Stegostoma tigrinum: one gene and its partner. Each later gene encodes a partner of the first gene's protein in a complex. Links are inferred from orthologs where the notes say so. Each region holds a gene or a part of one and is shown in the gene's direction. Other genes may lie near its edges. The genes, in order: wrap53 and gar1.

What was found.
Region 2: wrap53 (region 1) and gar1 share a complex: the UniProt entries of both Homo sapiens proteins name them as parts of the telomerase holoenzyme complex. The link is inferred for Stegostoma tigrinum from reciprocal best matches to the Homo sapiens genes WRAP53 and GAR1.

What each region holds. Positions count from the first base shown.
Region 1 is NC_081398.1:3,816,862-3,828,668, reverse strand, and holds the start of wrap53 (telomerase Cajal body protein 1), read left to right. Parts: upstream 1-6,150; 5' UTR 6,151-6,257; intron 6,258-6,686; exon of another isoform or gene 6,687-9,847; intron 9,848-11,807. Other genes in the region: transmembrane protein 217-like, read right to left, coding at 2,789-3,370. UniProt on the Homo sapiens protein: RNA chaperone that plays a key role in telomere maintenance and RNA localization to Cajal bodies. Specifically recognizes and binds the Cajal body box (CAB box) present in both small Cajal body RNAs (scaRNAs) and telomerase RNA template component (TERC).
Region 2 is NC_081354.1:61,439,358-61,451,415, forward strand, and holds the start of gar1 (H/ACA ribonucleoprotein complex subunit 1), read left to right. Parts: upstream 1-6,831; 5' UTR 6,832-6,981; intron 6,982-7,088; 5' UTR 7,089-7,161; intron 7,162-12,058. UniProt on the Homo sapiens protein: Required for ribosome biogenesis and telomere maintenance. Part of the H/ACA small nucleolar ribonucleoprotein (H/ACA snoRNP) complex, which catalyzes pseudouridylation of rRNA.

The sequences.
Region 1 (11,807 bases):
CCCAATTTGAATGGTGTGAGAGGTATAGATATTTTTAATCAACCTGTACAGAGAATGTATGACATACCTCTGGAGCAGATGGGACTTCTGGTTCAGCAGGAGGGATACTACCACTGCGTACACCCCTTGCTAAAGAATCCCAACTAATTTTCACAAATGAAAATAAATAGTTAGTTGTAAACCCAGCGCTCGCTGAATTGGTGAACCTAGCCACTGGAAGCTGTGGACAAAGAGGGCAATGATTGTAATCCTGCATTTGAGTCACCCTCCCCTTAAACATCACTGAAACTAATGGGATATATGCCAGCTGTTATCACATGACCTCCAGACACATTTCCTCATTGGACATCCAAACTGTCTATCTTCACTACATTCTGACTTCCCATGGCTATTCAGAAAGCATACATTGCTCGCTAACTGATCGGATCACCCAATCGAACAGTCTGTTTCTCCCAGATTACCCTGCCATTACTAAAAGCATTAATGCTCCTCACGAACAAGGTTCTTAACCACAATTGAAAGTAAACAAAGACCATGGTTTCGCATATAGCAATAACCTGAAAATGAATTTTTAAATTCCCCAAAGCAATTCGTAGAATCAGAACCATAGAACATGACCATCTGAGGAATTCCATCTTACTAGTGAACTTTTCCTGCATTTATTGCTAATTCTGTTCCTGTTGACATTTCTTGATATATCAGTGTTACTATCTCTGTCCCATTACTGTGGCACAGATGGTTGTTTTTTTATACAATAAGCCAATTCCTAGGTTTTGTAGGACAATAAAATGTTGATGTTTACAGTTAAATATATATTAAAAAAGAGCACGGTTGTCTTTCCTGATTTGACAGTTTTTATACAATGTCAGCTGGACATCCTGGATATTTTGTAACACAAGCTAATTAACTCAAGATTTAGTGAGATTACAGGTCTCGAGGTTAAAAATAACACTTGAAGAGCAAGGAATTTATGTTTCCTTAACTTCAGCAAGCATCCTTGAGTATGAGAGGGTTGCCTAACTATAGGTTGTGCTGTGACTGATCTTGCTACAAGGAAGAGTAAGAATGTAATTCCCAGAATGGGGATCACACCATGCTGTTGTGCCAACTGAGCTAACTAGCCCCTCAAAATAAGAGTTAAGCCCCTTGAAGGGGTTGAAGAAAGTTGAGAGAAGATTTGATAGAGAAGTTCAAAATCATGAGGGGTCTAGACAGATTAGATGAGAAGAAACTGATCCAATTGCTGTAAGAATCAAGAACATGGGGACACAGAGTTAAGGTAATTGGTAAAAGATCCAATGGCAACATGAGGACAAAAATTGCAGAACTATGGTGGGGGTGGTTGTTGGAAACAAGTGAGACAAAATGAGTTGTGCTCATGCAGCCAGGCGAGGGCAAAACAGGCCAAAAGGTTGTGCTGTAACTGTTTTATAATTCTATAACATTAATCTACATCAGCATGGTTTAGAGCAAGAGCAGATGTTTTGCTGAAAGATCAAAAAAAGTGGTCTGTGAGTTTTAAATTCATGTTGATCCTTATGGTTTGACGAGCCAAAGTTGGCACATGGCTTCACATCACATCTGAATTATAGCAGGATTTGGTGTGAACCTGAATAGTGTGAGGTCTCTGACTAATTTAATTTGATCCTGTCTTGACAGCAGACATATTTATCCACTGCCAATCACCCAGTCTCAGTAATTCACACCTCCCTATTCAATCTCTTTGTCGCATGTTTTCTCTACTCAGTCTTTAAAAGAGCCATCAAGTTAATTGCCCTTCCCTCCTCTTTCTTGGCATGATCCTGCAACTTTTCCCTTTAAGCGGTCACTGAATTCTCTTTTCAAAGCTGCTACTGAATTTACTTCTACTGCCCTTTCAGGCAGTGTGTTTCAGATCACCATAGCTTGCTGCACTAAAGGTAAAAATTATCTGCGCTCTGTTTCCATTCACAATTATCTCTATTCGATGTCCTGTGATTTCGTGCATCGCAAACAATTTTTCTACCCACATCCATGATTTCAAACACCTCTATTCAATATCTCCTGAACCTTCCCCGTTCTCAGGAGAACGAGACCAGCTTGTTCAGTCTTTCCACATCACAAACATCTTCTCTAAGGCCTTGAAATTGCTCATAAAGCGTGGTGCCTAGAATCAGACTGAATTAATATGCTTCATAAGTTCTTTGCTTTCCCACTCTATTACACTATTTATGACTCATTGATCTGAAATGCTGCTCTTATTATAATGGAAAATGTTATTGCACAGCAGTTACTCCTTTGCTGGTATTACCAACTGGGCAACCTAGGAGCTTATCCTCCATTTACAAACGAAACAGAACTAAACAAAATGTTAACTTTTTAATAAGAATTATTAATTGTAACAACTTAATTTTTAAAAAAGGGTTACAATTCGTCTTTAGAATCAACTGGAGTTATATACAAATGTTTCGATCAGTACAGTATTTTTAAAAAATCAAAAATATATTGTACCCTTATCGGTCTGGAGAGTGCTGTAAAATATACAATATACATCCATATTTACACGTATTTTAACATATTTAATAGGCATCCCAATAATCCACCATCGGTTAAAATCCTGGACATTTGTGGGTATTGCAGGTTTAACTTTGCTGTAAGGATGCCATTGTGTCAGCTTGCAACTGAAAGGAGCTGACCTGGCCTTCACTGTCTGTGGGACGACAGTCTGGAGGAAGCCCAGTATGGCTTGGAGAACGTTTCTTTGGTCGAAGAAGGAATGTCACCTGACACCACAAACTGTGGGGCATGATTACACACCCAGTTCCTTGACTTTTGCAAATTTGAGCTTTGGTGGAGTCTTCCTCTTGGTTTTCATGGGATCATCAGTGTTCCTGATGGTTTTGTACAATTCGATTGCATGTGAAGTCACAAAAATCATCCAGAAAATGTGCGAAAGCAGACGTGTGATGAGCCCAAACCATTCCAACACACGCACACTGCTTGGGAACCAATTTTGATCAGGCAGTGACAAACTCAGGAGGCTAATCTGTAAAATCTCATATAAGAATATCCAAATGATGTAGCCTGCCACTCCCCAGAACACCTCCTTCCAGATAGATACGAAAAAGAGAATAATTGCGATCAGAGTGAGACAGACAAAGATAATTGATATGATGCTGTATATTTGAAGTCGGGAAATTTGATTCACGGAGCTAGGAATAACCTGAGGCCTCAAGTAACGAAAATGCCCCGCTTCAAAAATGAGCTGCATGATGGATACCATCAACATGAACAGTCCAGCCACAATACTTCCTTCTTTGGCGTTCAACCCACACAAATTTCCAGATTTCAGTTTTCTCAATCTGTTGCGCAAGCTACGAATGTTCAGCATTTCGTTTCTTGGTGCTGTACATCCTTCTGAAAGTTGAGGGGCTTCTTTTTTTCAGCAAATTGGATCGTGAGGCAAGATAAACAGTTCACTGAAACAAATTTTACAACAAACATTGGTACAGTTGATTCCTCTTTCCTAATTTCTCCAGATCTAGAACAAGTCCAATCTGGTGCAAACTCTGTAAAACTCCTCCTTTTAAATACTCCCTATAGGACAATGACATGTAGCTACCCCAAACTGACTCAATTTGCTATAAATAGTTGTTTACAATATTAGGATTCAACAAAGTTTGAACAGGCAGGCAATGGGCCTTCCACAATCAGCCACTTGGGCCATTGGTGGAACTTGGGGAGTAGGGGGCTCTTCTCCTTCCTCGAGACGATTGAGATGCGTTAGGAGAAACCTCTTTACCCAGTGAGTGGGGAAGATATGGAACTTGATCCCACAAAAGGGGAGTTCAGCCAAATAGGAAGTCAGAGGAGTACATGAAGGAGAACACAATAGAAGGGCATGTCTGTAGGATAAGACAAAAGAGGCCGTAATGGAGGATAAATCAGCAACACAAACCAATTGTGTTGAATGGGCTGGTTTGCCTTCTAATTATTCCTGAACTGAGGGGAAGCAATATTTAGGAGGAACAAACGTGATATAGCTTTCAGCTATGAAATGTGTCCTTTCAGAGACTTTTTTTTCCTGTTTTGCATACAGCCTACAGTGGCACAATGTATGTCTGCAACTCAATGCTTTAATAGTCAGACAATTCACAAACTGAAAAAAAATTGTGAAGGTCCAGCAAATCTAAAAAAAAAATTCTATCTCCCAAACTATGAATACTGAAGATATATCTGAAAGCTAATATTCCAGACATCCTCAGATGAATAAATAGAAACATAAATCCACAGATCCCACATTTTTCACAGGCCCAGTACACTAAAAGCAAGTTTCCAAACTCCTCCAAAAATCCTATCATCCTCCAAACTATTAATAACCCTGACATGATTTAAATTATGAAATCCAGATATCCTTGTAACTACTGTTGGACCAGACGTATCAAAAATATAATTCCATGCATCCTCCAAACTGTGAAGAGTCCAGGTATTCTCAAAATTCTTTCAAAACAATTATTCATTCTTGCACAACTCTGAAATTTGTATATAGACCAAAATTCTCTTAAATTTATAAGATCTCCAAAATTGATGAGAATCCAGATATCCCTCAAACTTGCAAAGATTCAAGTAGGATATAACAAGAACTGCAGATGCTGGAGTCAAAGTCAATACAGCGTGGAGCTGGAGGAACACAGCAGCTCAGGCAGCATCAGAGGAGGAGGAAAGTCAACATTCTGGATCATCAGGATTGATGAAGGGTCCTGAACCGAAACGTCAACTTTCCTGCTCCTCTGATGCTGCCTGACCTTCTGTGTTCCTCCAGCTCCACACTGTAAAAATTCAAATATCCCTCCCGTGACATCCCTCTGTGCCTGTAGCTAATTCAGGGCACAAGTCAGAAGTCCAAAGGAACACTCTCCAATTATCTGAAAAAGATGCAGCTCCAACAACCCTCAAAACTTCACACCATCCAGGTCAAATCAATCAATTTGATTAGCAACGCTCATAACACCTGTGTCAAACCATCATTATCCAACTACCATTGGTTCACCTGTGCCCAAACTACATTGGTCCATGTGTCCAAATTACCATTAGTCTACTTGTACCCAAGTCATCATTGGTCAAAATACCATTGGTCCACCTACGCACAAAGCATTTATTGGTCCATCTGTGACCCAAAGCCATTATTAATCTACCTGTTTCAAAAGCATCATTGGTCCAACTACCATTGGTCCACCCATGCCCTCAAATCATCACTGGTCCACTTATACCCCTAAACCACCATTGCCCATCTGTGCACCCAAACCCACTATTGGTCCAAATGGCATCAGTCCACAAATGCTCAACCACCATTGGCTGACCTGCACCCAAACCACCACTGGTTTACCTGTCCCAAAAGCACTATTGGTCCTTCTGTCCGCAACCACCATTGGTCCACCTGTACCCCCCAAACTACCACTGGCTCACACTTCCCAAAAGCACTATTTGTCTGACCAGTTGTGGTTACCTGAGCTCAAACACCATTGGTCTACCGGTCTCTAAAGCCCCATTAGTCTAACTTGCATTGGTCATTTTGCGCTCAACCATCAGTGGTCCACCTGTATCCCCAATTCACCATTGGCCCCTCTGTACCCCATATCCACCATTTGTCCATGTTTGTCCACAAGCCCCCAGCGGTCTATTTGTATCCCCAGACTGCTATTGGTTCATCTGCATCCCCAAAACATCATTGGTCCATTTGTATCCAAAACACCATTGGTACACCTGTATTCCAACAGCTATCGTTGGTCCACCCAAAGCACTATTGGCCCAACCACCATTTATCCACGTCCCCCATTTCCCCCTGTACCTGACCCACAATCGGTTCACCAGTTCCCCGGACCATCATCGGTCCGATGGTATCCAAGCCTCTCAGCGTACCAATTGCCGCCGGCCGCAAGACTCGCCGTTTATTTTTGGCCTCTTGAGCTCTTTGGGGCCTAGCGCCATTTTCAGTACTCACGTTCCCCCCCACCGGTTCGGTTGCCATGGCAGCGGCCCCGCCCCCGCCTCAGTGACGTGTTTTGAATTTCCCGCGCCGCTGCCCAACGGCCCCCATCCCACCGCGTCTGCTCGCACGTGATCTGGCCGCGCAGCCAACCGCCATCTCCCGGAGGACGGGCTGGTTGGTCGCCACTACGCCTGCGTGGCAGCCCTGATGCGGCTCAGAAACTGCTGGAGAGACTCAGCAGCGTCTGTGGATAGAGAGGGGGAAAAAAAACCCAGAATTAACGTTTCAGGTCCAGTGGCTTTTTCTTCAAAACTCATTGTAGCTTGGAAAGGGTTGATATATATGTTAGAGAAGGAGATCGGAGTGGAGGGACTGGGTCGTGATCAGCCTGGGAGGATCTATAGCTGCTAATGGGGACAATTAATGGCTGACAGTGGGATAGTTTGTGGTAGTAGGCTGTGTGATGACAAGGCCTGGTGTGGTTTCGGGTTAGGGGAAGGTGCAAGATGCTCAGGTCTTAAGGGCAGAACCTTTAAGAGTACTACTAGGCAGTGGGATCTGGGTGTATAGGTATACAGGTCACTGAAAGTGGCAACGTGGGTGGAAAAGGTAGTCAGCAAAGCACGCTTGCCTTCTCTAGCTGGGGCATTGAGTTTAAAAATTTGCCGGTAGTGGTGCAGCTTTATAGAACCTTAAGTTTGGCTGCTTTTGGAACGTTGTTGCTTGGCCTGCTGTGTTCATCCAGCTTCACACTCTGTTATTTTGGAATATTGCGTTCAGTTTTGGTTGCCACACTAACAGAAGGATGTGGTGACTTTGGAGAAGCTACAGAAAGATTTACCAGCATGTTGCCTGGCATGGTGGGCCTGAGCTATGAGAAGAGGTTGGAGAAACTTGGGTCTTTTGCACTGGAATGTCGGTGGTTGAGGGGAAACCTGATAGAAGTCTAGGCCTGAAATGTCAGCCTTTGTTCCCCTGAGATGCTGCTTGGCCTGCTGTATTCATCCAGCTTCACACTTTGTTATCTTGGATTCTCCAGCATCTGCACTTCCCATTATCTCTAGAGGTCTACAAGATTGTGAAGGGCATGGACAGACTGGACAGTCATAAGCCATTTCCCAAGGTGGATGAGTCAGTTACCTGGGGCCAGGGGTTGAAGGTGCGAGGGGCAAGGTTTAAAGGTGATTTACGAGGCATTTTTTTTTACAGTGTGCCTGGAACTCTGCTGGGGGTGATAGTGAAAGAAGAAACTATAGTGACTCTTAAAGGGTGTCTTTACAAATATATGAATAGGATAGAGGGATAAGGTCTCTGGAAGGATAGGGGGTTTTAGTTGTGACGGGCAGCATGTCGGTGCAGACTTGGAGGGCCGAAGGACCTGTTCCTGTACTGTAATTTTCTTTGTTCTAAAATTATTGAACTTGATTTGAATGTTGGAGTAGGCATGTCTTGCTGCAGTTATATAGGACCTAAGTGAGGCCACACCTTGAGAATTATGAGCAGTTTTGGTCTGATGAAGGATGCTTTTGCTGTTGAGGAAGTCCGGCGAAGGTTCACCAGACTGATTCTCGGAATGGAGGCATTAATGAATGAAGAAAGACTGGATTGACAGGGCTTGCACTTGCTGGAATTTAGAAGAATGAAGGTTGGGGGAGGAGGTGTTCCCAAAGAAACACAAAATTGTGATGGAATTCGACAGGCTGGATGCAGGAAGAATGTTCGTGATGTTGAAGTCCAGAACTAGGGGGTCACAGCCTAAGAATAAAGGCAGAAATCGCACAACACCAGGTTATAGTTCAACAGGTTTATTTGAAGTCACAAGCTTTCAGAGTCCACCCCCTTCGCCAGATGAAGACGACAGGAAGTTTAGGGTCATTTGTTGCAGACAGACTCGAGCTATGTGCCCATGGATCCAATATTTTCCTTGTAGAAGGTTAACAGTTAGCACTTTATTTTAGGTGATCCCAGCCTCTTTCCCTCTACATAAACCTTGCCATAAACTCTCATTTTTTTTTGGTTAAAATTCAATTTTGTCTTTTGTGCTGCAATGTAAGGTAGTCACTAGGAAATCCAATGGGGAACTTGGGAGAAACATTTTTACCCAGAGAGTGGTAAAACTATGCAACTCTGTCCCAAAGGGAGTAAATTTTGCAAGTCTGGTAGTATTAGTGGGGAGAGAAACAGTTAATGTCTTGAGTCCTGTGACTTTTCTTTGAAATATGTTATGTATTTTATGGGTTATTGGACTTCTTTGAGAGTGACCATAAAATAGTAGGGTAATTAGTTTGTAATTTGGTCCATCAAGCCTGCTCTGCCATACATTAAAGTTTTGATTTGACTTTATCCCTTGTCCCCTTTTCCCTCCCCATCCCCAAATAACCTGAATTCCAATTGTGAAGTCAAAGACCATAGAAACAGACCCTTCAGTCCAACCAGTCTGTGCAGACTATAATCCCAAACTAAACTAGTCCCACCTGCCTGCCTTGGTCTATATCCTTCCAAACCCTTTCTTTTTAATGTACTAATCGAAATGTCTTTTGAATGATGTAACTGTACCTGCATCAACCACTTCCTCTGAAATTCATTCCACATATGAGCCACACTGTATATATTTTTTTAATAAAGCTGCCTTTTGCATCCTTTTAAATATTTCCCCTGTTGCCTTCAACATATGAAATCTCCCAAAATAGGGAAAAGACACCTGCAATTCACCTTAACTATACCCCTCAAGATGTGTAGAAAACGTTATGATCATGTGCCTTCATTATTTCACCAAAACATACCTCTGAACCTGCAAAGAGACATTAGTTAAGGCTTTGAGGTTTCACATTCCACAATAGAAACAGCACATCAAACAAATAATCCCTTAAAAGGAAATAAAAACAGATCTTGTTGGAAAAGCTGAGCAAGTCTGGCAGAATGGATGGAGAGAAATCAGAGTTAGTGTTTCAGCTCCTTAGACCCTTCCTCAGAACATAAAAAGGCCTGGGATGGATGTGAGGAGACTTGTACTTTCTGAATTGAATCTGGGGATGCAGAGTTTGCATCCATGACCACAGAGGGTGCTGTGATTTGGCTGCTCAGGCATCCATATAACTAGACCCCAACAGAGTTCAGTTAAATTGGCAAGAAAACTCCATACAATGCAACATAAAACACTCATTTTGAAACAATTGCAGCCTTGCATCCAGGTCTGAGTTCATACTTTGGGAAACATGGAGGCATTAGAGGAAGTGCAGGAAAGGTTTACTGAGAACAGTTCCTGGGATGAGAACTTCAGACATATGGTTAGATTGGAGAATGCAGAATAAGGTCTATTGAGTCTGCACTGATCTTCTGAAGAGCATCCTACCAGATCCTATCCCCATGTGCGGTTATTATCCACCTAGCCTACACATAATTGGACATTAAAGGGCGATTTAGAATGGTCTGTCCACCTAACCTGCACAGCTTTTGGACTGTAGGAGAAAACCAATGTAGACAGTTGCTTGAGGGTGGAATTGAACCCAGATCCCCATCACTGTGAGGCAGCAGTGCTCACCACTGAGCCACCATGTACTTGGAGTTTTTTTTTGGAGAAAAGTGGGTCTAGAGGAGATTGGATAAGGAGTTCTTGGCAGAATCGATAGAGAAAGACTGTACCTACTGATGGAAGAATTGAGAATGAGAGGTCAAAAATTTAAGATAATTAATCAAGGAAGTAATGGAGACATGATAAATATTTTTCATGAAGTAAGTTTAGGATCTGGAATAAATAGCCTCAAGGTATGGTAGTGGAAAGTTCGTTTGGGACATTCAAAAGAAAATTGTCACCTGAAAAGGAAGAACATGCAGGCATATTCTGCCTATGCTGTAACAATTTTATCGTCCAGAGTCTTGGTGAGTGAGGGGTTGATGCGGTAGGTGTAAGAACTGAAGCATTTGTGTTTCAATTACGGAGCAGAATCTGTGTGCATTAACGAATCTACTCTTCATGTTTGTTGAAACCTAAAGACTGCCATCCCTTCCATCCACCTTGCTCATTTTATTGATTAACCACAGTGTAGTTTTTAGGCCATGGTTTCCTTTTTGTTAATAATGTTTACCAACTGAAAACTCACCTGATGACATTTTGGCCCAGAACACGTTAGTTCATCCCAGAAACATAAATACAGAAATTAGGAGCAAATTACTGCAGATGCTGGAACCTGTACTGAAAATAACAAAGGCTGAAGATCATGGCAGGTCAGACAACATCCATGGAGAGAGATCAAGCTAATGTTTCGAGTTGAGATGATTTGAAATGTTCGCTTGATCTCTCTCCATGGATGCTGTCTGACCTGCCGTGATCTTGGCATTTGTTGTCCTCAGTAAAAACAGAAATTGTTGGAGAAACTCAGCAGGTTTGGCAACATCCATGGAGCAAAAAGAATTAATGCGTTGAGTCCAGTGACCCATCTTCAGAGTTTTGTTTTTTTTAACTGAATGTTTTTGTTTGTTTTCAGTCTCTGCAGTTCGTTGTTTTGCTTTGGCTCATTCCAGGAATTTCCTGGAAAACTGGGACTTGGTCACCCTTGTTTAGTAGTTGAATACCAAAAGTTCCGAAGTGTATTTTGAGTTTCTCTGTCAGTTGTTTATTCCTACATTCCAGGTAGGCAGTGGCCTAGTCGAATCATCATAAAGTGTTAATCCACAGACCCAGGTAATGTTCAGGGGACCTGCCACAGCAGATAGGTAGAATTTGAATTCAATAATAATCTAGAATTAACAATCTAATGATGACCCTGAAACCATTGCTGATTGTCAGGAAAGCCCCTTCTGGTTCACTAATGCCCTTTAGGGAAGGAAACTGCCATCCTTACCTTATCTGGCCTACATGGGACTCCAGACCCACAGCAATGTGGTTGACTCTGAACTGCCCTCTAGGCAATTAGGGATGGGCAATAAATGCTGGTCTAGCCAGCGATGCCCACATTCTGTGAATTAATCAAAAAGCATTCTCCAGCCTCTGCTTGTAATGGATCCATATTTGCTTTCTGACTCTCTGTACAAGCTTTTCGAAGAATTTACAGTCTGTTTTTGTGGTTCTTGCCAGTTTCCTGATTTATTCTAATTTCTCTTTCTTATCCTTTTCCTTGGTACTCTTTTATAGATTTGTGAAATGCTCCCAACCCTCAGGTTTACCTTCTTTTGTCCATTTTACAGGAATTTTCTTTTAATGCGAATAAATCCTTGATTTCTTTTGCTAGCCACTTGTTAACACATCCTTTTTGGGTTTTTATGCATTAAGCATGGAATGCGTTGTGAGAGCATGGAATGCGTTGCCAGCAGCAGTTGTGGAAGCCAGGTCCTTGGGGTCATTTAAGAGACTGCTGGACATGCATATGGTCACAGAAATTTGAGGGTGCATACATGAGGATCAATGGTCGGCACAACATTGTGGGCTGAAGGGCCTGTTCTGTGCTGTACTGTTCTATGTTCTATGTTCTAAATGGTGCATCAAAATTAAATTCCAGCGATTTGGCAACTTGTTTTGGGGTTCCAAATTGTCGGAAGGAGGTTGTGGTCATAATTGCAAATTTGTACATTGCAAATTTGCAGCAATACTATCTTGTTTTAGAAACATAAATACAAAGATTTCTTTCGGTCAAGCAGTGACTAAAAGGAAATTTAACAAGATCATTCAAAATTCTGAGGAGTTGGCTTACAGAAAATAGAGTGATTAAAGATCTTCAGTGATAATGGGAACAGCAGATGCTGGAGAATCCAAGGTAACAAAGTGTGGAGCTGGATGAACACAGCAGGCCAAGCAGCGTCTCAGGAGCACAAAAGCTGACGTTTTGGGCCTGGATTAAATAGC
Region 2 (12,058 bases), on another chromosome or scaffold:
GGCGGAAGTGTCGGAGGATGATGCGTTATATCTGGAGGTTGATGGGGTGGTATGTGAGGGGGATTCTCTTTGGGCGGTTGTGGCAGGGGCGGGGTGTGAGGGATGAGGTGCAGGAAATGCGGGAGACATGGTCAAGGGCGTTCTCGACCACTGCGGCGGGGGAAGTTGCAGCCCTTGAAGAATGAGGACATCTGGGATGTACGGGAATGGAATGCCTCTTCCTGGGAGCAGATGCGGCAGAGGCGAAGGAATTGGGAATAAGGGATGGAATTTTTGCAGGAAGCTGGGTGGGAGGAGGTGTATTCTAGGTAGCTGTGGGAGTCAGTGGGCTTGAAATGGACATCAGTTTCTCGCTGGTTACCTGAGATGGAGACTGAGAGGTCCAGGAAGGTGAGGGATCTGTTGGAGATGGTCCAGGTGAACTTGAGGTTGGGGTGGAAGGTGTTGGTGAAGTGGATGAACTGTTCGAGCTCCTCTTGGGAGCGTGAGGCGGCGCCGATACGGTCATCAATGTAACGGAGGAAGAGGTGGGGTTTTGGGGCCACTGTAGGTGCGGAAGAGGGACTGTTCCACATAACCTACAAGGAGGCAGGCATAGCTTGGGCACATGTGGGTACCCATGGCCACCCCTTTGCCCGTCGCAAGTGGGAGGAATCGAAAGAGAAGTTGTTGAGGGTGAGGATGAGTTCGGCTAGGCTTTTGTACTCCTAAGATGCTGCAGGGCCTGCTGTGTACATCTCAGATTCTCTAGCATCTGCAGTTCCCATTATCTCTGGTCATATCTTTACCTGCCTTAGTCACAGCTTGTGGATTGTGTTGGGCCTCACTTACTCAGTATACTTACAATGACGGACGCTAGAAGGTCTTCTGGGTGGGCCTTGGCAAATAGTGACACAGAACAAAAGGCCAAAGGGATAGAGTTCAGAAGAAAAGAAACAGGGCTGTCAATGTTGTTTGTGAATATTGGTTTGTGTTCAGAATGTGCATCAACTACCTTCTATTGTCCAACAATGTCAGATCTGGCGATGGGTTTCCCGGGGGTGGTTATTGATCTATGTGGGTCTCAGCAGCACCCGGCGGGTTTGGAGGTTTCTCCATCATCTTCAAAATTACTGTGGCCCAAAACGTCTCCAGGGCTCCATGGGAGATGTTCCCACAGTTCGATACATTCAAGAGATGATGAATGGTCTGCTCTGAAGAGTCAAAACACTAATTAGCTTCACAATTGATCATAACAGCCAGACTGCAAGAATATGGTTCATGTCGTTCCCAGGATATAATCAACGACAGCCACGTGGCTTTTCGATGGGAACAGAGAAGAACATGAGCAAGTAATCATGGCACCGAGAAATGTGATGTGAAGGAGCTGGTGTTGGACTGGAGTGGACAAAGTCAGAAGTTCCATGACACCCAGTTATTTGAAAGCAGTGCTCTGAAAGCTTGTGATTTCAAATAAACCTGTTGGACTCTCACCTTGTGTCATGTGACTTTGGAATTTGACCAAAAAATATGTCAGGGCTTTCAGAGACCATCTCATCTTCATATGTTTTGCCCAGAATGAGGTGCCTACACACCCAGCAGTATGGCTTGTACAAACCACACAAAAATCCACATCAAGACTGGCACCAAGTTATTTGAGAGCCCCCTTTCCCTCCCCCACTTCTGATGAAGGGTCTAGGCCCGAAACGTCAGCTTTCCTGGTCCTAAGATGCTGCTTGGCCTGCTGTGTTTATCCAGCTCCACACCTTGTTATCTCGGATTCTTCAGCATTTGCAGTTCCCATTATCTCTGATACAATTTTGACCCCACTGCGAAGCCTCTTCTAAGGATGCCTGACCTGAAGAAGTTACCCTCCGGAGAAACCTCAGGGGATCTCTCTCCCACTGCAACTCTCTCGTAATCTCTTCGGCCTTGAAACTACTCGACCACGTCCTGAAGCAAACCAGGTACTACAGCCACATCACCTTCCTCAGCACCTGCCTACAGAACCAGATCATCCCCAATGGACTACAGTCCACATTCAAGCCTTCCCAATTTTGCCCCAGCCGTGAGAATATCTACATTCAGAACATTGAGACCCTTCAGAAGCGTTTCTCCCTGCGAGTCCTGAAACAGACACTCGCAGCCATACGCCGGCATCTCCAGGCACTGAAATCCAGCCTACTCCAGCTCAGAGCCTCTCTCTCCCAGACCTGCAAAGGACCTCTCCTGTTTTTTATTCTTCGTAGGATCCACAACCTGAACTCACAATTCTACTCAGCTTCATTAGCCACTAAAAACCGTAAGCACAGCAAACTCACTGGCCCCTGCCACCTAAAATGGGATTCCTCCACCTCCCAAATCCCCAGCCCTACCCGGACCTTCCCCACAATGTGCCCACTGACATTGGCCACGACGCCACTGTCGGAATACCCACTGATGACGTCACATCCGCCACCACCGGGAACACCACTTCCGGGACAGCAAACACCATCGCTGCTGTAGCCACCGCCTCCACTTCCGAAACCAATACCACAGACATTACCGACACCGCTACTGCCACCACCTACCCGGCTCTGCCCATTGCCGACGCCGCTCCATCCATGACGGATGTGGACGCAACTCCGCCCACCACTAACGACGACACAACTCTGCCCACTGCTGATGCTCATGGAGCTCCGCCTACAGCCGAGGCCGGTGCAACTCCGCCCACCAGTGACGCCGACGCAACCCCGCCCACAGCCGATGCCGACGCAACCCCGCCCACAGCCGATGCCGACGGAACCCCGCCCACGGCTGACGCCGACGGAACCCCGCCCACAGCTGACGACCTCATCGCTCCGCCCACAGCCTCCACAGCCAGCAACCCCAGAGAAGACAGCCACACTGAGCCCTGCCGAATCTTCACTATGCCCCCAGACTTCCCTCTGACTGAGGTCGAAGGGTCAGTCCTAAGCAAGGGGCTCACCTTTGTCCCCCTACAACTACACATCAATGAATACCTGTCGCGTCTGGATATTGAGCAGTTTTTCCGCCGCCTTTGCCTCCACGCTTATTTCTTTAACCGTGAGCCCAACCCTCCCTCTACTGACCCCTTCTCCCGCCTCCAACACAAGTCCTCCTCCCGGACAACACCCCCAGGCCTACTACCCTCCCTCGACCTCTTCATCTCTAACTGCCGTCGAGACATTAACCGCCTCAACCTCTCCACCCCTCTCACCCACTCCAACCTCTCCCCCGCAGAACAGGCAGCCCTCCGCTCCAACCCCAACCTCACCATCAAAGCTGCAGATAAGGGAGGTGCAGTTGTAGTATGGCGCACTGACCTCTACATCGATGAGGCCAGACGCCAACTTTCCGATACCTCCTCCTACCGCTCCCTGGATCATGACCCCACCCCCGAAAACCAAACCATCATCTCCCAAACCATCCACAACTTCATCACCTCAGGTGATCTCCCACCCACAGCCTCCAACCTCATCATTCCCCAGCCCCGCACCGCCCGCTTCTATCTCCTTCCCAAAATCCACAAACCTGCCTGCCCTGGTCGACCCATTGTCTCCGCCTGCTCCTGCTCCACCGAACTCATCTCCACCTATCTGGACTTCATTTTCTCCCCCTTGGTCTAGGAACTCCCCACCTATGCCCGTGATGCGACCCACATCCTCCACCTCCCCCAGAACTTCCAATTCCCCGGTCCCTAACACCTCATTTTCACCATGGACGTCCAGTCCCTATACATCTGCATTCCCCATGCAGATGGCCTAAAGGCCCTCCGCTTCTTCCTGTCCCGCAGACCCAACCAGTCCCCCTCCACCAACACCCTCATCCGCCTGGCTGAACTCATCCTCACCCTCAACAACTTCTCTTTCCACTCCTCCCACTTCCTGCAGAAAAAAGGGGTGGATATGGGCCTCCGCATGGGCCCAAGCTTTGCCTGCCTCTTTGTAAGTTACATGGAACAATACCTCTTCTGTAGCTACGCTGGCTCTAAACCCCACTTCTTCCTCCGGTACATTGATGACTGTATCGGTGCCGCCTCATGCTCCCACGAGGAGCTCAAACAGTTCATCCACTTCACCAACACGTTCCACACCAACCTTAAGTTCACCTGGACTATCTCTAAAACCTCCCTCACCTTCCTGGACCTCTCAGTCTCCATCTCAGGCAACCAGCTTGTAACTGATGTCCATTTCAAGCCCACTGACTCCCACAGCAACCTAGAATACACCTCCTCCCACCCACCCTCCTGCAAACATTCCACCCCCTATTCCCAATTCCTTCGCCTCTGCCGCATCTGCTCCCAGGATGAGGCATTCCACTCCCGTACATCTCAGATGTCCTTGTTCTTCAAGGACCACAACATCCACCCCGCAGTGGTTGAGAACGCCCTCGACCGTGTCTCCTGCTTTTCCCACAACTCATTCCTCACACCCCGTCCCCGTAATAACCATCAAACCAGAATCCCTCTAGTCCTCACGTACCACCCCACCAACCTCTGGATACAATGCATCATCCGCCGACACTTCCACCATCTGCAATCCGACCCCACCACCTACCTCGTCCTCCCTACCCTTGTCTGCCTTCTGGAGGGACCACTGTCTCCGCGACTCCCTTGTGCGCTCCACACTCCCCTCCAACACCACCACACCCAGCACTTCTCCCTGCAACCGCAGGAAGTGCTACTCTTGCCCCCACACCTCCTCCCTCACCCCCATCCCAGGCCCAAGATGACTTTCCACATCAAGCAAAGGTTCACCTGCACATCTGCCAATGTGGTATACTGTATCCATTGTACCTGGTGTGGCTTCTTCTACATTGGGAAAACCAAGTGGAGGCTTGGGGACTGCTTTGCAGAACATTGCTCGGTTTGCAATAAACACCTGCACCTCCCAGTTGCGAACCATTTCAACTCCCCCTCCCATTCCTCAGATGACATGTCCATCCTGGGCCTCCTGCAGTGCCATAACGATGCCACCCGAAGGTTGCAGGAACAGCAACTCATATTCCGCTTGGGAACCCTGCAGCCCAATGGTATCAATGTGAACTTCACCAGCTTCAAAATCTCCCCCTCCCCCTACCACATCTGAAAACCAGCGAAATTCATCCCCGCCTCCCTGACCTGTCCTTCCTCCCACCTATCCTCTCCTCCCACCTCAAGCCCCACCCCCATCTCTGACCTACTAACCTCATCCCGCCCCCTTGACCTGTCCGTCCTCCCCGGACTGACCTATCTCCTCCCTACATCCCCACCCACACTCATCTTTACTGGCGCCATCCCCACCCCTTTAACTTGTCTGTCTCCTCTCCACCTATCTTCTCCTTCATTGACAGTATGCAGAGATGGGCTGAGAAATGGCAGATAGAGTTCAACCTGGATAAATGCAAAGTGATGCATTTTGGAAGGTCGACCTTAAATGCTGAATATAGGATTAAAGGCAGGATTCTCGGCAGTGTGGAGGAACAGCAGGATCTTGGTGTTCAAGTGCATAGCTCCCTCAAAGTTGCCACCCAAGTGGATAAGGTTGTTAAGAAAGCATATGGTGTTTTGGCTTTCATTAACAGAGGGATTGAGTTTAAGAGCCGTGAGGTTTTGCTGCAAGTCTACAAAACCCTGGTGAGACCACACATGGAATATTGTGTCCAGTTCTGGTCGCACTATTATAGGAAAGATGTGGAGGCTTTGGAGAGGGTGCAAAGGAGGTTTACCAGGATGCTGCCTGGACTGGAGGGCTTGTCTTACGAGGAGGGTTGACTGAGCTTGGACTTTTCTCTCTGGAGAGAAGGAGGAAGAGAGGTGACCTGACCAAGGTGTACAAGGTAATGAGAGGCATGGATAGAATCGATAGCCAGAGACTTTTCCCCAGGGCAGGACTGACTGCCACGAGGGGTCATAGTTTTAAGGTGTTTGGAGGGAGGTATAGAGGAGACGTCAGAGGGAGGTTCTTCACCCAGAGGGTTGTGAGCGCATGGAATAGTTTACCAGTGGTAGTTGTGGAAGCGGAGTCATTAGTGACATTTAAGCGACTGCTGGATGTGCACATGGGCGGCAGTGAATAGAGGGGAATGTAGGTTAGGTTATTTTATTTTTGGATTAGGATTATTCCAAGGCACAACATCGTGGTCCGAAGGGCCTGTACTGTGCTGTACTTTTCTATGTTCTATGTTCCCCTATCCATCTTCTGTGTGCCTCCCCCTCTCTCCCTATTTATTTCAGAATCCCCTTCCCCTTCCCCATTTCTGAAGAAGGGTCTAGGCCCAAAACGTCAGCTTTTGTGCTCCTGAGATGCTGCTTGGTCTGCTGTGTTCATCCAGCTCTACACATTGTTATCCTGGATTCTCCAGCATCAACAGTTCCTATTATCTCTCATCACCAATAACCTCCTCACTGATAGCCTGGCCTCAGCCATGGTCATGCAGCTCCAAACTAGGTTTTGGCCCATACAGGGTCAAAAGAAGCGAACTCCAGAAGTGAGCATTATGAAACTTAGCAAAGAACTAGCGGAGAAGATTTCCATGAGGTCAGGAATGGGATACTCAACATCTTGCTCTGATAAGGGTGCATTGGTTTCGCACATTCAATCCTGAGCACATTTGACATTCTTTGTTCTCGCCCATATACGTGTAATGTTCTGCAAGTATTCAGCTCAAAGTTTCCCTGCAAAGAATTTCTCAGCAGTTTGAGGGAGGCTCTTCAACGTAGCTATATGACATGAGCCACCAGGAACTGCCAAACCAAAGGTGCCCAGTTGTAATTCCCAATTGTTTCGCTGCTGGTGCAATGCTCGTACTCTCTCGCTAGAGGGTGCGCCACCGCGCCGTGCGCTTGCGAAGAGGGCACGCAGACCGGTAACTGTAATACGGCAGGTCACGGATGTTAAGAAGCGTCCCAAAACTGACGTAAAGTTCCGGTCTCTGTAATGCACTCATTGAAAACCCTGGAACAATGTCGAGGGCGGATCCGGGTTTGAAATGTCATAGGCGTCCTTGAAGTTTGTAAAGGTAAAATAATTTCAAGGAATTGTAATACAGAGGCAGTAGTAGGTTCTTACAGGACTCAAAAAGCGGGTTAAGTTTAGGATTGTGTGTGTGTTTTTTGTTCCCTGCAGCCGGGATTGAGTGCACGTGGCTGAAGAAGGAGCGCGTGCTCCGGGTAACATTCTATCTCTGGGCCAGGGTTCGGTGAGTGAGTGGAGCCGCGCGCTGCCCGGGGGACCACGTTGCACGGAGTGGCTCTTGCACCGGGAGTGCATCGGATCTTTGGGCTCCTTCCTGTGACAGGCATGGCGACTGCTCAGAGGGTCGACCCAGAAACTGGCTTTCACGACAAGCTATGTGCTCCTACATTTCCATTGTGCTCACCCCACACCCCCCGCCATTTAATTTTGCGCTGCAGGCTTTGCAATAGTGACATTCAAAAGAATTGAATTCAAGGCAATGGCTTCATATGTTTCAGAGATAATGGGAACTGCAGATGCTGGAGATTCCAAGATAATAAAATGTGAGGCTGGATGAACACAGCAGGCCAAGCGGCATCTCAGGAGCACAAAAGCTGACGTTTCGGGCCTAGACCCTTCATCAGAGAGGGGGATGGGGGGAGGGAACTGGAATAAATAGGGAGAGAGGGGGAGGCGGACCGAAGATGGAGAGAAAAGAAGATAGGTGGAGAGAGTATAGGTGGGGAGGTAGGGAGGGGATAGGTCAGTCCAGGGAAGACGGACAGGTCAAGGAGGTGGGATGAGGTTAGTAGGTAGCTGGGGGTGCGGCTTGGGGTGGGAGGAAGGGATGGGTGAGAGGAAGAACCGGTTAGGGAGGCAGAGACAGGTTGGACTGGTTTTGGGATGCAGTGGGTGGGGGGGGGGAAGAGCTGGGCTGGTTGTGTGGTGCAGTGGGGGGAGGGGATGAACTGGGCTGGTTTAGGGATGCAGTGGGGGAAGGGGAGATTTTGAAACTGGTGAAGTCCACATTGATACCATATGGCTGCAGGGTTCCCAGGCGGAATATGAGTTGCTGTTCCTGCAACCTTCGGGTGGCATCATTGTGGCAGTGCAGGAGGCCCATGATGGACATGTCATCAAGAGAATGGGAGGGGGAGTGGAAATGGTTTGCGACTGGGAGGTGCAGTTGTTTGTTGCGAACTGAGCGGAGGTGTTCTGCAAAGCGGTCCCCAAGCCTCCGCTTGGTTTCCCCAATGTAGAGGAAGCCGCACCGGGTACAGTGGATGCAGTATACCACATTGGCAGATGTGCAGGTGAACCTCTGCTTAATGTGGAATGTCATCTTGGGGCCTGGGATGGGGGTGAGGGAGGAGGTGTGGGGACAAGTGTAGCATTTCCTGCGGTTGCAGGGGAAGGTGCCGGGTGTGGTGGGGTTGGAGGGCAGTGTGGAGCGAACAAGGGAGTCACGGAGAGAGTGGTCTCTCCGGAAAGCAGACAGGGGAGGGGATGGAAAAATGTCTTGGGTGGTGGGGTCGGATTGTAAATGGCGGAAGTGTCGGAGGATAATGCGTTGTATCCGGAGGTTGGTAGGGTGGTGTGTGAGAAAGAGGGGGATCCTCTTGTGGCGGGGGCGGGGTGTGAGGGATGTGTCACGGGAGATGCGGGAGACGCGGTCAAGGGCGTTCTCAATCACCGTGGGGGGAAAGTTGCGGTCCTTAAAGAACTTGGACATCTGGGATGTGCGGGAGTGGAATGTCTTATCGTGGGAGCAGATGCGGCGGAGGCGGAGGAATTGGGAATAGGGGATGGAATTTTTGCAGGAGGGTGGGTGGGAGGAGGTGTATTCTAGGTAGCTGTGGGAGTCGGTGGGCTTGAAATGGACATCAGTTACAAGCTGGTTGCCTGAGATGGAGACTGAGAGGTCCAGGAAGGTGAGGGATGTGCTGGAGATGGCCCAGGTGAACTGAAGGTTGGGGTGGAAGGTGTTGGTGAAGTGGATGAACTGTTCGAGCTCCTCTGGGGAGCAAGAGGCGGCGCCGATACAGTCATCAATGTACCGGAGGAAGAGGTGGGGTTTGGGGCCTGTGTAGGTGCGGAAGATGGACTGTTCCACATAACCTACAAAGAGGCAGGCATAGCTGGGGCCCATGCGGGTGCCCATGGCCACCCCCTTAGTCTGTAGGAAGTGGGAGGAGTCAAAAGAGAAGTTGTTGAGTGTGAGGACGAGTTCCGCTAGGCGGATGAGAGTGTCGGTGGAGGGGGCCTGGTCGGGCCTGCGGGACAGGAAGAAGCGGAGGGCCTTGAGTTCTTTAAGGACCGCAACTTTCCCCCCACGGTGATTGAGAACGCCCTTGACCGCGTCTCCCGCATCTCCCGCGACACATCCCTCACACCCCGCCCCCGCCACAACCGCCCCAAGAGGATCCCCCTCGTTCTCACACACCACCCTACCAACCTCCGGATACAACGCATTATCCTCCGACACTTCCGCCATTTACAATCCGACCCCGCCACCCAAGACATTTTTCCATCCCCTCCCCTGTCTGCTTTCCGGAGAGACCACTCTCTCCGTGACTCCCTTGTTCGCTCCACACTGCCCTCCAACCCCACCACACCCGGCACCTTCCCCTGCGACCGCAGGAAATGCAACACTTGTCCCCACACCTCCTCCCTCACCCCCATCCCAGGCCCCAAGATGACATTCCACATTAAGCAGAGGTTCACCTGCACATCTGCCAATGTGGTATACTGCATCCACTGTACCCGGTGCGGCTTCCTCTACATTGGGGAAACCAAGCGGAGGCTTGGGGACCGCTTTGCAGAACACCTCCGCTCAGTTCGCAACAAACAACTGCACCTCCCAGTCGCAAACCATTTCCACTCCCCCTCCCATTCTCTTGATGACATGTCCATCATGGGCCTCCTGCACTGCCACAATGATGCCACCCGAAGGTTGCAGGAACAGCAACTCATATTCCGCCTGGGAACCCTGCAGCCATATGGTATCAATGTGGACTTCACCAGTTTCAAAATCTCCCCTTCCCCCACTGCATCCCTAAACCAGCCCAGTTCATCCCCTCCCCCCACTGCACCACACAACCAGCCCAGCTCTTCCCCCCCCCCACCCACTGCATCCCAAAACCAGTCCAACCTGTCTCTGCCTCCCTAACCGGTTCTTCCTCTCACCCATCCCTTCCTCCCACCCCAAGCCGCACCCCCAGCTACCTACTAACCTCATCCCACCTCCTTGACCTGTCCGTCTTCCCTGGACTGACCTATCCCCTCCCTACCTCCCCACCTACACCCTCTCCACCTATCTTCTTTACTCTCCATCTTCGGTCCGCCTCCCCCTCTCTCCCTATTTATTCCAGTTCCCTCCCCCCCATCCCCCTCTCTGATGAAGGGTCTAGGCCCGAAACGTCAGCTTTTGTGCTCCTGAGATGCTGCTTGGCCTGCTGTGTTCATCCAGCCTCACATTTTATTATCTTGGCTTCGTGTGTTTGTTTCCCCAGTTGAGATGATCACTGAAGAGTTACAGCGACGATAAGGGCCCCTGGATTGGTTTAGGGCGTGAAGGAATCGATCCGAAATAAGGAGGTCCTGAGCAATGAAGGTTTAGAGGATAGGAAGAGCTTCTCAAGCTGGGACAAAGCCATTTACTTGGGAATGAAGTGCTTTTCTTTCATAATTCTAATGCACATTTTTGAAATGATTTATGGGCTCCAGTTCTCCTGTACTGTCCTGCGAGTCGTTCTCACAGGCTGTTCAGTATCCCTTTCTGACACCTATTTGAAATCAGCAGAGTAAAATTTCCTAATCCCTAACAAAAATGAGCTGGAATACGCAAATGGTTAGCAAGGGGACGTTTGAAAAAAGTGCAAGCAATCAATCTTGCTGATGAAAGTGCGAGATTTTAAGGCTTATCTCGCAGGTGCTAGGTTTTGTGAGTGATCTTGTTCATTCTGAAAGAGTGGCCAGGTAGGGAGCTGAAGTTTGGACAGGTAACAAAAGGAGAATGCAATTTAGCAGTCCCTTTAGAGAGATCAGAGGGTTGGGAAAAGTACAAGCACACAGTGGGTCAGACACCGTCTGTTGCGAAAGGAACAGTTGCTGTTTCAGGCTAATGACTACTTAGAATGTTTGTCTGAGGAAACTGGACTAAAGAAAGTTAGGGGTAGCACAGTGGCTCGGTGGTTAGCATTGTTGCCTCACAGCACCAGGAGCCCATGTTCCATCCCACCCTTGGGCCACTGTGTGGAGTTTGCATGTTCTGTCTGTGTCAGCGTGGATTTCCTCCAGGTACACTAGTTTCCTTCCACAGCCCAAAGATGTGCAGGCTGGGTGGATTGTTCGTGCTAAATTGCCGGTGGTGTTCAGAGCTGTGTACATTTGTTGCATTGGGTCTGGGTGGGATGCTGTGAGGGTCACCATGGACTTGTTGGGCTAAAAGGCCACACTCTGGGGATTCTATGATCAATGATTTGGCCTTCGAGATGAGAAAGCATCACGTCGAAACAGACTTTGAAACAAAATAGATGTCAAGAGGAAGTAATAATTAAGAAGAGATACTGGGAACTGCAGGTGCTGGAGAATCCGAGATAACAAAGTGTAGAGCTGGATGAACACAGCAGGTCCAGCAGCATCTTAGGATCACAAGAACTGACGTTTCAAGCCTAGACCCTTCATCAGAAAAATAAGAATCAGAATCAGAAATCAGAAATAACTAAGAAGTGTAGGTGGGTCAAGTATGTTTTGAAGGCTACAGGCACAGTCTAGAAAAAGGGAATGGTGGACAGTGACAGTGGGAGCCAGAATTGGATCTAGGAAACCAAAGGTGCATCTTGTGCTACGAGATCAGAGGTTGCATATAATTGACAGCAGACAGGAAAAGACATCAGTGTGTACATTCGCTACTACCCCATTGAGATCAGGGTGAAGTCTAAATCAAATAAAAACACAGGCTAATTAATGGAAAGGAACCTGGAAAAGTAGCTTTGACTTGTACAACAAGAACATGTCCGTATGACCACTTTTTTAGCTTGATTATGATTTGTACACTTCAGTAGCTTGTTCCACAGACCCATTATTCCCTTGGAAAGTATTAATCTTTTGATATTTGACCTAGATCATGACTTGCATAA